Schizosaccharomyces pombe: one gene and its partners. The main gene of each other region encodes a partner of the protein of the gene in region 2 in a complex. Each region holds a gene or a part of one and is shown on either strand. Other genes may lie near its edges. The genes, in order: spb70, spp2 and spp1.

Region 1 (3,755 bases), on a different chromosome or scaffold from region 2:
TTAAGATGTGCGATATCTAAGTTTGAAGGGTTGCACTTTTCAAGAGAACCTCCAGGGAATAAGGGATAAAAATGCCTTTGGTGAAGTACGTGAGAAACCAAACGTGCAAATAAGTTACCATGAGAAGGTAGACGAAATAACTCTTCTCTAGATGTGTGAAGGAGTATATCGTTGGTTGACACACCAAAGACGACATCATTAATGGAAAACATGCAAGGATTCGGGAAGCATTTGAAGTTCTATGGATTGGTCAATAAAAATTATTATACAACTTAACATACAGATGGAAGACCTAAGGCCACCCGATTAAATGCATCCTGTGGCCATGCAGGATGATCTGAAGCAGCATCATTGATGTGAGGAATTAAAATACAAGGACAAGTTAGCTGGCTTAATATGGGTGTGACACGCTCTTTAAACAACTCTTCCAAAGAAGTCGCAGACGTTCCTGTAATGTTTCCGGTACGTATTAGTATATGATTAATATCCAAGAATGGACCACATAGAATAACCAAGTCAACAGGATTTTTATTTACATATGAAATCATTGATTTTAAAGGGGAAAAAGAGAGATCATCACGGAGAGACCAAGGTCCAGATGCAATATATATAGAAATTGGCTGATTATTTGTATTAGCAACAAAGGTAGCGTGCTCCTGTTTAGATGAACTTGGGAACGGCAAAGGAGGTATAGGAAGGATTTCCTTGGCGATAAACATGTTACCGCTAGGATTGGATCCTTTAACTGAAACAATTTGACCAGGAAATATTGAGTAACTTGGTAGATCATCCACCTTCAAACGAACTCGAACACCAGCGCCTAGACGTCTTGAACTTTCAAGTAAAATGCTATTTTGGTTGAGTCTTCCACCTAAATTGGTACTTTCGACAACAATTCGTCCTACAACTACAACGGGTTCTTGAGTAAGTTCGCTAGGATTTGCCAAATCTTCATCACTTATGTTGTATTTTCTGCAAGTTAATGCACTAAAAAGCTCAATGCGATCATCCAGAACTTCAGAAGAATCATAAAGCTTTTGATACATGATCCTGTAATTAAATGCCTTGAGATCAAAATTCGCTACGATAACCAGCTTGGATGGAGCTGAAGGTTTTGAAGTTACAATTTTTAATTCTTTATTTAAAACTTCCAAAACCCTTCCAGCGTCACTGGAATTCAATTCGAAAGTTTCGGTAGATGGTTTAGACTCTTGCATCAACGAGTCGCCTGATGCGGTGGTCTTCACTGGTAGACCTAGTCTAGATATTTGTTAGTTAAAACCATTTGCTAATGTACGCACATGCTATCAATATTCATTCCCGGGATTTGCTTTATCGATTTTCTTTCAGGATTCTGTTTAAGTGTGGCTTTTACCTGCCTCTCCATTTGAAATTTCATGTCTTTAGCAAAGGCCTTGAATGTGTCAAGGTCGAGTTTTGGTGTATTTCCTCGTTGCAAACACCAGGACTCCCACTTGTAGAACATTGTTTGCTCGTCCATATTGCAAATTTGGAGAAGTTTATTTCGCTCATCTAGCAATTCCTCATCATCGATAGGAAATTCCATTTTTTTGAAGATTGAATGAAGTTGAAAATGAAACAAGATACCCAAAAAAAAAGACAGTAAATGAATACCTGGGAATATTACGAGCAAATTAATTTGAAGTGACTAATTTTGTACTGTGATGTGGGTCCTGAAAAAGAAATAAATAAGAATAAAAAATACAAGTACACGTACTAGCAATCCCAGTCCAAAAGTGCCCAGTGATAGATTTTCGAAGTTGCTTTTTTTAATTTGTTTACGCGATTCCAACCTAACAACAGATAGAAAAAACGACGTATAGCAGAAAGTTCAACCACTTAAAGAGGTACCCACCAATAATTATGAGTAAACCTTTTTAGGATAGGAGAGTGTATCTTCTTAAAGCAACTACTTAAATCGCTCTTCTAATAAAAACTCGGATATACTGGGACGCTCCGTGGATACTGTGGAGAAACGCAGTAGTATGTGGTTTAATGTGTTTTTTAAACCTCCTTAAACATTTAACGAGATGCTTTTACTATGTAATATTAGTTTACTGATAAATAGTGTAGTATGTATTTTTTTTGTTTTGTCAGCTGAAACTAAGCTATGTTACAATGTGTCCGAGTATCACTATATGTCACATGTTGTAATGTTCTATTTGCTCTATCTACTTTACATGGTAGGTTAAAAAGACAGCTACAGTACCTTTTATGATAATATAAATATCAGTTACAATTAAAGACTTTTTCAAATACTATAAACTGAAATCAACTGAACTTCGTTCCTCAGTTCGGTTATAAGCTACATTAGTGATAACTAACAATAGACCTACATAACAGAATACATATACCCAGCTGCTACTTAAAATACCTGTTTATTGCAATATAATTGATCACGAGGAAAACTCACTGCAATCCTAAGTATCGTTAAATATTATAAACTGCGTAGTTGACATTCGCTATACAGAACAGGCTTGCAACTACTTGACTAGACAATATGGATTGTACAAAGTGAAGTAGAAATATGTTTTATATTTTTTCTCTTTTTTTCTCTTTTTTTTTCGTTGTTTTTTTTTTTTTTTTTTTTTAAACTATAGGAATTTTTGCTAATTAATAGGATCCAACCCTATAGCTCAATTCAGCATATTCGATTTCTTTTTTTTTTGGCTAATTTGTTTAATTTTCAACTTAAAAAAAAAAAAAAGTAACCCAAAATAAAATAAAATGCAATAAAAAAAATAAGAAGCCAAACAATAATTTAAAAAAAAAAAACAATATCTAAGTTAAAAATTATTTCGTTTTCAACTCAATAAATATATACTGGAACATTAAGCTATGTGAAAGAACAAATCTTCTCATACACTACTAAATGTTTCCCATGGTGTTTGAGTTTTTCTTTTTTCATCAAAGAAATTATTTAATAATACAACTAACATCGTCAGCAATAAGCCTGGGCTGAACGACCGTCTTGTTTACAAAAGCTTTAGAAACTTTCCGATACTATGGAATGTCAGGTTTGCAAAGTAACAGTTTAGCGGAAGCAGCAAGATAAACAATTAATCACGGAAGAAAGTGATTTTGACTTTCTGAATCAGATGTTTCGTGGTAATAGAGGGCTGGCTATTAAGAATTGGTAGCAAACTCAATACGTATATAGCAGATGTATATATAGAGAATGAAAAGCCCAACTTTTTGTAATCATTTTAATCGGTGATATTTTATCTACTAAAGAGAGCTTAGAAGAAAAGACACTAAAAATAAAGCAACAAAATATAGAGTATGATTATCAAAAAAAATAAAGATATGTTTCAATAAAGGTGTGAAAAAGTACTAAAAAACAAAAAGCGAAAAAGAAAAAAAGGATTACACCATCTATACTTGATAGGCAAGCCCTACGTATTGTATTTATTCTTTACTCTTTAAGTGTTGCCCCGTCAGCAGTCTATTCATTTGCTTTCATATAAAATGGGTAGGATGATGGCCTTTTGATTGTATACCTCAAAAGCAATTGCTGCTTGTATAGTTAATCCATCTTAATTTTCAAGGAATGCTATACACTAAAAAATATTGCGAGCTTACCACAAAGATCGATATTACATTTTTACACACACGTAACGTTCAAATCTACCGAGATCACTGTCTGTATTAGTGAAACCCATTAATTTACTTTATACTAAATAGCGATGCCTAATCCCTACGCTCTTTAGCATCCTTCGTAATCACCTTGGTTT
Region 2 (3,755 bases):
TCTGTTTCTCTTCAATCTACTCCATCTGAATTAATTACATCTCAACTTACGCGGATTGCCAAATCCCTTTCTAGTGTTTTGATGCGTTTTGATACCGATTTCTGCCTTTTACGCAAGCAACAAGCCGAGGCTGCCTACGAAAGGGCTCAGGCTGGTGTTGAACAGGAGCGTAAAGCGGTCATTGCTCAGCGTAGTCTTCTCGAATTACGTCGTGGACAGGCTGATACACTTGCTACTCAACGTGAAGCTGAGCTTGCTGCTCAACGCGCTCTCAAACAAAAGCAAGAATCTGAAGCCGAGTCTCTCCGCGTTCAAGAAGAAATTAATAAACGTAATGCTGAAAGGATTCGTCGTGAGAAGGAAGCTATTCGCATTAACGAAGCTAAAAAGTTGGCCGAGGAGCTCAAAGCTAAGGGTGGATTGGAAGTCAATGCCGAAGACTTGGAGCATTTGGATGCTGATAAATTGAGAGCTATGCAAATCGAACAAGTCGAAAAGCAAAATAAGAGTATGAACGAACGTTTGCGTGTTATTGGAAAGCGTATCGACCATTTGGAACGTGCTTATCGTCGTGAAGCTATCCCATTGTGGGAAGAAGACGCAAAACAACAAGCCGAACATGACCGCGAAATCTTTTACGAGAGGGAGAAACAACGCAAGGAAGTACAAGAGCGTAAGCATGAACAAGCCATTAAAGACAAAAAGGCTTTTGCTCAATTTGCTTCCTATATTCATGCCTATAAGCAAAATATTGACGATGAACGTGATAAAGCATATCAGGAGGCATACGCCAAAGCTAAAAATGTCATTGATGCAGAGCGCGAAAGGCAACGTAAAGAAATTTTCGAACAAAAATTGGCTGAGGCTATTCGCGAAGCTGAAGAGGAGGCTGCTCGTGCTGCTGAGGAAGAGGCAAACCGTGAGCTTCATGAGCAAGAAGAAGCTCAAAAACGTGCTATCGAGGAAAGAACTCGTGCAGCTAGAGAAGCTAAAGAACGCGAACAGCGCGAAATGGCTGAGAAATTGGAACGCCAAAGACGTATTCAGCAAGAGCGTGATGAAGAAATATCTCGTAAGCTTGCCGAGAAAGCAGCTGCTAGAAGAGCAAATATTGGCGCATCTTCACCTAGTCCTGGTGCTTGGAGGCGCGGCGGTGCTAGTGCTGGCGGTGTTTCACGAGACTCTCCAAGGTATTCTCGTGGTGGCTACTCTCGTGGTTCTGTTCCTCCTCGTGAGACCCTTGCTCCTTCTAAGGGAGCATATGTTCCACCAAGCAGACGTAATCAACAACAACAGTAGTAAACCTACTGTCTATAAGAAAATAAACCTGTCGACAATTAATTATTGTCGCAATTGGATATTGGAGTCAAGTCTTTACGATGCATTATCTAATGTCACAGCTGATAAATTTAAATGAACTAATGTGTTCTCCTATTGAAAGTTGTAAGTTCCTTTTTCTTACAAGGGTAGTTGGTTACTTTCATGCTATTGGAATTCATGAAAGCGGTTATGTGTATAAAAAGAGCCTTTTGTAGCTCTATTTAATAGATAATTATCGTTAACCTTTGAACTTTTTTTAATTTGTATAATACTGCTTAAAGCTTGACTTGTTAATTGTAAATGTAGAACGATACTAATCGAATAAAGATGTTACATGTCAAGTTTATAAGCGACGATGAGTTTTTACAGTTGACGTTTCTGTAGTATGCATTTCTCATTTCAATAATTCTGAATACAACGAGTGAAGAAATAATTCATTAATTATTAGCAACGTGTTTTGTATTAGTACCAAAAAGGTTAAGCAGCTTAAAATATTTGTTTAAAGACACTCAAAGTAAAAAGGTTTCTTGGTGAGAGGCACGACAATTTGTTACCGCAAATAGACTCTTCGCTAACCACCATGTTCAGAACGACCAAAAGTCGAGTAGTTGAAAAGAATCAAAATTTTTCTAGTGCTAGTTTTGAGAGTTTAAGTTATCCTACGCGACTTAATTTTTATAAGAAACCTCCTGTCTCTGAAATAAGCATTGAAGAGTTTGAAACATGGGCAATAGACCGATTAGTTGGTATGCTTTCCATTTTCTTTATTATTTTCTATTCTTTTGGAGTAAGCTAACTATTTAGTTTTGGGTGAAATTGAGTCAGCAATGCTCCGCAATAAGACGAAAAATGAATTGAACGGGATTATAAAAAAGATACTGGATAAACGTCTGCCGATGAGTAGCAACATGGCTAGGACTGTAAAAGGAAACTCCTTAGATGAAGAAAGAAGGAAAGATCATTATTCTCATTTCATTCTGCGCCTGGCTTTCAGCAGATCGTAAGTAAAAATGTGCTATATTTGAGTGCTGTCTGTCGAAAAATATCTCATTTAGACTTATAAATGCGTTCGCGTTATGGCATAAGTAGTAAATTGAACATAAAGTGGGTATCAATTTGCTGCTTCAGTTAAACAGAAAGCATTATATATATGAATACATTTAAACTTGCTTTTATTCTTTTCCTAACGCATTCATTAGTGATGAATTACGAATCAGGTTTTTAAGAGCTGAATCCACGTTATTTCGGTTTCGATTTGTGAATGAGGAAACCCGAGAACGTCAAGCGTTTATAGATAGTCTTGATTTTCAATGGGAATCTGTTTCACAAGAAGAAAAAGACGTTTTTTATGAAAAGCTACAGGCTTCTTCTCAAAGAAATATAGAAAACGAATCTTTCTTCAAAGTACCTTTTTTTAAAGTTCCGGATTTAGTAGAACGAAGGGCTGTTTTCGTTCACAAGGGATACGCTTACGTACCATTTTCGGAACAAGTAAGTCTAGTTGTTGAAGAGTTTGAAGAAAACTTAAAAAAAGCGCTTGAGTCTACCGCAAAATCTCTTCCTAGGCTTGATGAAGACGATCGTCTTTTGCCAATTCTCAACCATTTGAGTAAAGGATTCGTTGCTCCCGAGAGTTCAATAGTTGCTCCTAAATCTGGTGCTATTACTGCTGGACAAGTAGACAGTTTTGTTTCACATTTTCCATTATGCGCCAAACATTTACATGAAGTACTTAAGCGTGATAAGCATCTACGGCATTTTGGCCGTCTTCAATATGGGCTATTTTTAAAAGTATGAAACTTATTTTTTATGTAGTAATTTACTAATTTTTCAGGATATTGGCCTTTCTGTCGACGAAGCTTTGGTCTTTTGGAGGAAAAGTTTTACAAATGTAACAGAAGACAAATTTAACAAAGAATATCGCTACAATATTAGACATACTTATGGACTTGAAGGAAATAGGAAAAATTACAAGGGTTATAATTGCCAGCAGATCCTTACAGGGCCTCAACTTGGTCCTGGAGATGCCCACGGTTGTCCTTATCGTACATATTCAGTAAATAATCTAGTGTCAGCATTGGCTTCCATGGGAATAGCACCGGATTCTGCCGGATGCCGTGAAGTTGTTGAGGCAGTTAAAGCGAGGCATTATCATATTGCGTGTACGCGTGTTTTTGAGCTTACTCATCCAAATGTCGGTTCGCTGGAGGAGAGCATTCACCATCCCTTACAATATTTTCAACTTAGTTTAGAATCATAAGCTAAGATACTTTTAGTTCACGATTATCATAACACATTTCAATTTTTGTACAATAGGTATTGAACACTTTCAAAATACATTTCATAGCTATAATTCAAAAATCTAATTACCGGCAGGCTGGTTATATAGATGAATAAGCATTGTTACTAATAAAAGGCAATAATACCAAATCAAC
Region 3 (3,755 bases), on a different chromosome or scaffold from region 2:
ATAGTGAATTGGAAAAAGAAAATTAAATCGCTAGTTTAAAATCATACTAGTTATGCTTTTGATTTGTTTTGGTTTTTATTATTATAATGTATTTAGCAAAAAAGGATAAATAAAGAGGTATTAAAAAATATATTATTACTGTCGATTTAACGGAAAACAATATGCTCCACGTAAATAGAAGTCAGAGCTTCCATCCTTTCATGAGTAAATGTATGCCCAAATTTTTAGTTAAAGCTTGAATCGATTGTTGAAATACGATTTTAAAATTCCAAATTCTCATGTTTTCTTTTATTTCCTACTGTTTCTTTAAAAAGCTGGCTACTGAACGATTTAAAGTACAGCGTATAAGGATTGAGAGAAGTTGAAAAGCCATGCCCCTTGTTTGATTGTCCCCTAGCATTATCTTTTTGGTTTTCTGTTGTATTAGTTTCCATTGTTGGACCATGGCCGTTATCATTTTGGGAATTTTTATCCAACTCTTGCAAAAGATCATTCACAGTGGGTACTTTCAAAGGATTAAAAGAATCCATCCTCTCTATATCTATGGGAACACAAACACGACTAGTTCCGGGGTGGACGCAAAATGGAGATTTTAGCAAATGGTTTAAATGTCTAGAAACCTCAACATCCAATCTTGGATACAAATAGGTTAAAACAATGTCCTGCTTGGCAATCGCAATTACTGAAGGAGATATAGAGGCAATAGAACCAGATGCTAAGACAGTGTCAATGTCGGACCATTTATTTTTGCTAGATCGTTCAGGATCAACCTCCCATTTTTTACGAAGAGCAGATGCTAAATCCTTGTCTGGTAGTAATTTCAAAAGGTTTTCGGCTCCTTCTTTAGAAGCCCACGGATCTTGGTCTTCAAGGACAATTTTTACAAAGGCCGATTTGAGAATGTTGAGAGAACGAGTCAAATGTGGGTGAAGGGGTCTTTTTAAGTTATTAATAAGTCGTACGCCACCTTGAGGATTACCTACTACAACCTGTAAATAACTGGCAATCATTCTACGAGACCGATCGTCTAAAGAACAAGCAATTTCGTCACAAATCCAAGCGTGAATACCTCTTCGACCAGAGTATACCCACAATATGTGTTTAAATCCAAAGTCCTCATGAAAACAAATATCTAAAACTTGAACTGCGATCGTAATAAATGGCCAGCATTTTTCGCATATATTTGTTTTTGAGCAGCAGGTTCGTACATCATCGTAGTCAGTCATATCTATATCAAAAACGAGTTCCTTTTTAAGCGGATGAAATGTTGACTTCCTTATTGTTTTCCTGTCCCTGGGATTGGCACTATAAACGGGTCCAACTTCAAATCGGCTTGGGCATAAATTTAAAGCTTCCTTTTTTAACTCTTCCCAATTTGAAAAAGATAAATAACGAATATAAGCATCATTAGGAAGTGTGAACGCGAACTCCCGATGAGCAAAATCATTAGTGACTACCGGACCATGATTTAACCATTGAAATAAATATTTCCACGGAAAAAGATGGCGATAATATTGAATCATCGTCTCTGAATCCACAGCTCCCTGTTTACTATAAGAAAATTGTTAGAGAATTTTCATTATTTTAGAGGCTCAATCGAGTCCATAGTTAAGATTGTTCAGTATTCACACTTACGCGCCATCAAGTGTTCCGTTTGCAATTATCTCATCCAAATCTTTGTCGTCCAATTCATCGATTTGAACAGTCATATTGTAATAAGTTTAGCTAAAAACAAAGGTTATTTACATACAGCTCAACCATAAATCAAAAGGAAACGACAGCGTACTTAAACGTTATACGTTATTTAAATTTAAAAAACTGCTTAACGTATGCGTAAACATTCAGCAGTAAAATGGAGCATTCATTAGTGCATCTACTTTACTTTTAAAGCATAATTAACATTTCAACTTTGCATTTCGAGATACGTATCAAACTCTGTGCAATGGTATTTCTCCACATATAGAATTAGAAGAAATATATGTTTATGTAGATTAGCCTCTCTTTTTGTTTTGAGTTTGTTTTTGCAGTTGTTTGAATCGAACACTACAAAATTGAAATTGGGTCCAGGCAGTGCATTAATTGGCAAATCATGCACGATGAATCACGAACTAAACAAATATCTAGTATAAAAGCGCTCTTAAAGAAGTGGGAACATGAGTACGTCCATACGAACAATTGCAAACCTTCTAAGGAGGATGTGAAGAAACAACCAGAAATAGGTATGTAAGCCAAAGATACACTTGAATTTTTGAAGCAAACTAACGAACTTTTTTAGCGCTTTTATATAAGCAATACTACGAGTTGAAACGCGAATCCTCCATTACCCCTAAAAAAGCAAAAACAAAGGTCGACTTTAAGTTTCAAACTCCTACAAAACAGCGTGCTGAAACTGAAGCGAACGAGAGTCCTAAAGCGCCCCGAAATGATTATCTACAGGTTACTCCGAAAACTGTGGATAAAAGTCTTTTAGGTCCTACTCCACAGTTGTCACGTCGAGTACTTAACCTTCTTGAAGACATGTCTCCCATTGCAGATTCTCATGTGGATCAAATTTCGGATATAAAACATAACACTAGTGAAATTTCATCAACTATGATACCGACTACTCCATCAAAAAATCCCGAACCTGTGGCTCAACATACTCCCACCGTTCTTGAAACCCCCTCTTCATATCGCCTTCAAGTTTATACATCTCCTAACTTACTTCGAGTTAATGCGCCATGCCGAAAAAGTCTCAGTGAAATGCTTCGTGAGTTAAAAGATATTGAAGATGATTACGGATCAAATGAAGAGAAGATATTGCAGGAGTTTGAAAGCTTTAGTAGCTCATCTTCAGAAAGCCTTGTAGATAGAGACATATCACAACCTATGAAGAAAAAAATTAAACGACAAAATCGTCTTGTTAAATGTAAGGTTTTCTCCTGTTTGTACCTGAACTAACGTTTTAGTGCCCCCTTCAATGAATCTTTCCAAAAGTCATTTAGAAGGTCTTCCTGAAATAGACGAAGATGCGGAAAATGGCATTGACGACAATGAAGATACAACTGCTAGCAAAGATTCGTCACCATTTTTAGATCTGCAGAGTGAACGACAAAATAAAAAGATTATGAGAAACGGGCTTGTTATTGGAAAACAAGTAAGCCAGAATTATTCCTCTTACAAATTAAAAAAACGTAAATTTCGGCGTCACAGAAGCTAACATATAATTTGTCAATCGGAACTTTGCTGTTGTATTTAAAAAAACACATACTTTCTGATCTTCCTTAATAGGATATACACTTTTTCAATGAATGTTAAAGAGGTATATATATTTAATAAATCATGCATTCAATAAAACCTGGAAATAGATTTTGTGGGTTTTTGAGATTTAAATGAAATAATACATCATGAGTTTGTGGTATCCTGTTAAAAAAATTTTGGAAATATAAAAGTTTGAATGAATCATATATTTCTTGTTCTTAATCTTCGGGTAAAATCAAATTAGTTACTATCGAACGATAAACGTTTTATATTTTTACGTAGGCATTCGTCCAACATTAAATCTAAGACTGGAACGTTTTGATATACGAATATCATGAGGACGTAAGGAAAGAAGAAGTACAAAAAAAATCGAACCTTCAATATTGAAGCTGGCGAGAAAGACAAATAAAAAAACAGCTTCAAATAAGTTTGGATCTATTGAAATGAGGAATACATGAAAGCTGAATATCATCATTACTTTACATGGATTTGCATAGCTTATTCATCCTTAGGGG

What was found.
Region 1: spp2 (region 2) and spb70 share a complex: the UniProt entries of both Schizosaccharomyces pombe proteins name them as parts of the alpha DNA polymerase complex.
Region 3: spp2 (region 2) and spp1 share a complex: the UniProt entries of both Schizosaccharomyces pombe proteins name them as parts of the alpha DNA polymerase complex.

The regions. Positions count from the first base shown.
Region 1 is NC_003421.2:285,452-289,206, reverse strand, and holds the start of spb70 (DNA polymerase alpha B-subunit), read right to left. Parts: upstream 1,979-3,755; 5' UTR 1,568-1,978; coding exon 1,302-1,567; exon of another isoform or gene 1,261-1,301; coding exon 282-1,260; exon of another isoform or gene 240-281; coding exon 1-239. UniProt on the Schizosaccharomyces pombe protein: Accessory subunit of the DNA polymerase alpha complex (also known as the alpha DNA polymerase-primase complex) which plays an essential role in the initiation of DNA synthesis.
Region 2 is NC_003423.3:3,315,883-3,319,637, forward strand, and holds spp2 (DNA primase large subunit Spp2), read left to right. Parts: upstream 1-1,890; 5' UTR 1,891-1,900; coding exon 1,901-2,066; exon of another isoform or gene 2,067-2,124; coding exon 2,125-2,320; exon of another isoform or gene 2,321-2,519; coding exon 2,520-3,111; exon of another isoform or gene 3,112-3,154; coding exon 3,155-3,580; 3' UTR 3,581-3,747; downstream 3,748-3,755. Other genes in the region: tif301 (translation initiation factor eIF3a), read left to right, coding at 1-1,299. UniProt on the Schizosaccharomyces pombe protein: Regulatory subunit of the DNA primase complex and component of the DNA polymerase alpha complex (also known as the alpha DNA polymerase-primase complex - primosome/replisome) which play an essential role in the initiation of DNA synthesis.
Region 3 is NC_003424.3:2,428,909-2,432,663, forward strand, and holds spp1 (DNA primase catalytic subunit Spp1), read right to left. Parts: upstream 1,728-3,755; 5' UTR 1,710-1,727; coding exon 1,636-1,709; intron 1,552-1,635; coding exon 261-1,551; 3' UTR 68-260; downstream 1-67. Other genes in the region: tRNA m(1)G methyltransferase Trm10, read left to right, coding at 1-26; drc1 (DNA replication preinitiation complex assembly protein), read left to right, coding at 2,090-2,219, 2,276-2,908, 2,949-3,199. UniProt on the Schizosaccharomyces pombe protein: Catalytic subunit of the DNA primase complex and component of the DNA polymerase alpha complex (also known as the alpha DNA polymerase-primase complex - primosome/replisome) which play an essential role in the initiation of DNA synthesis.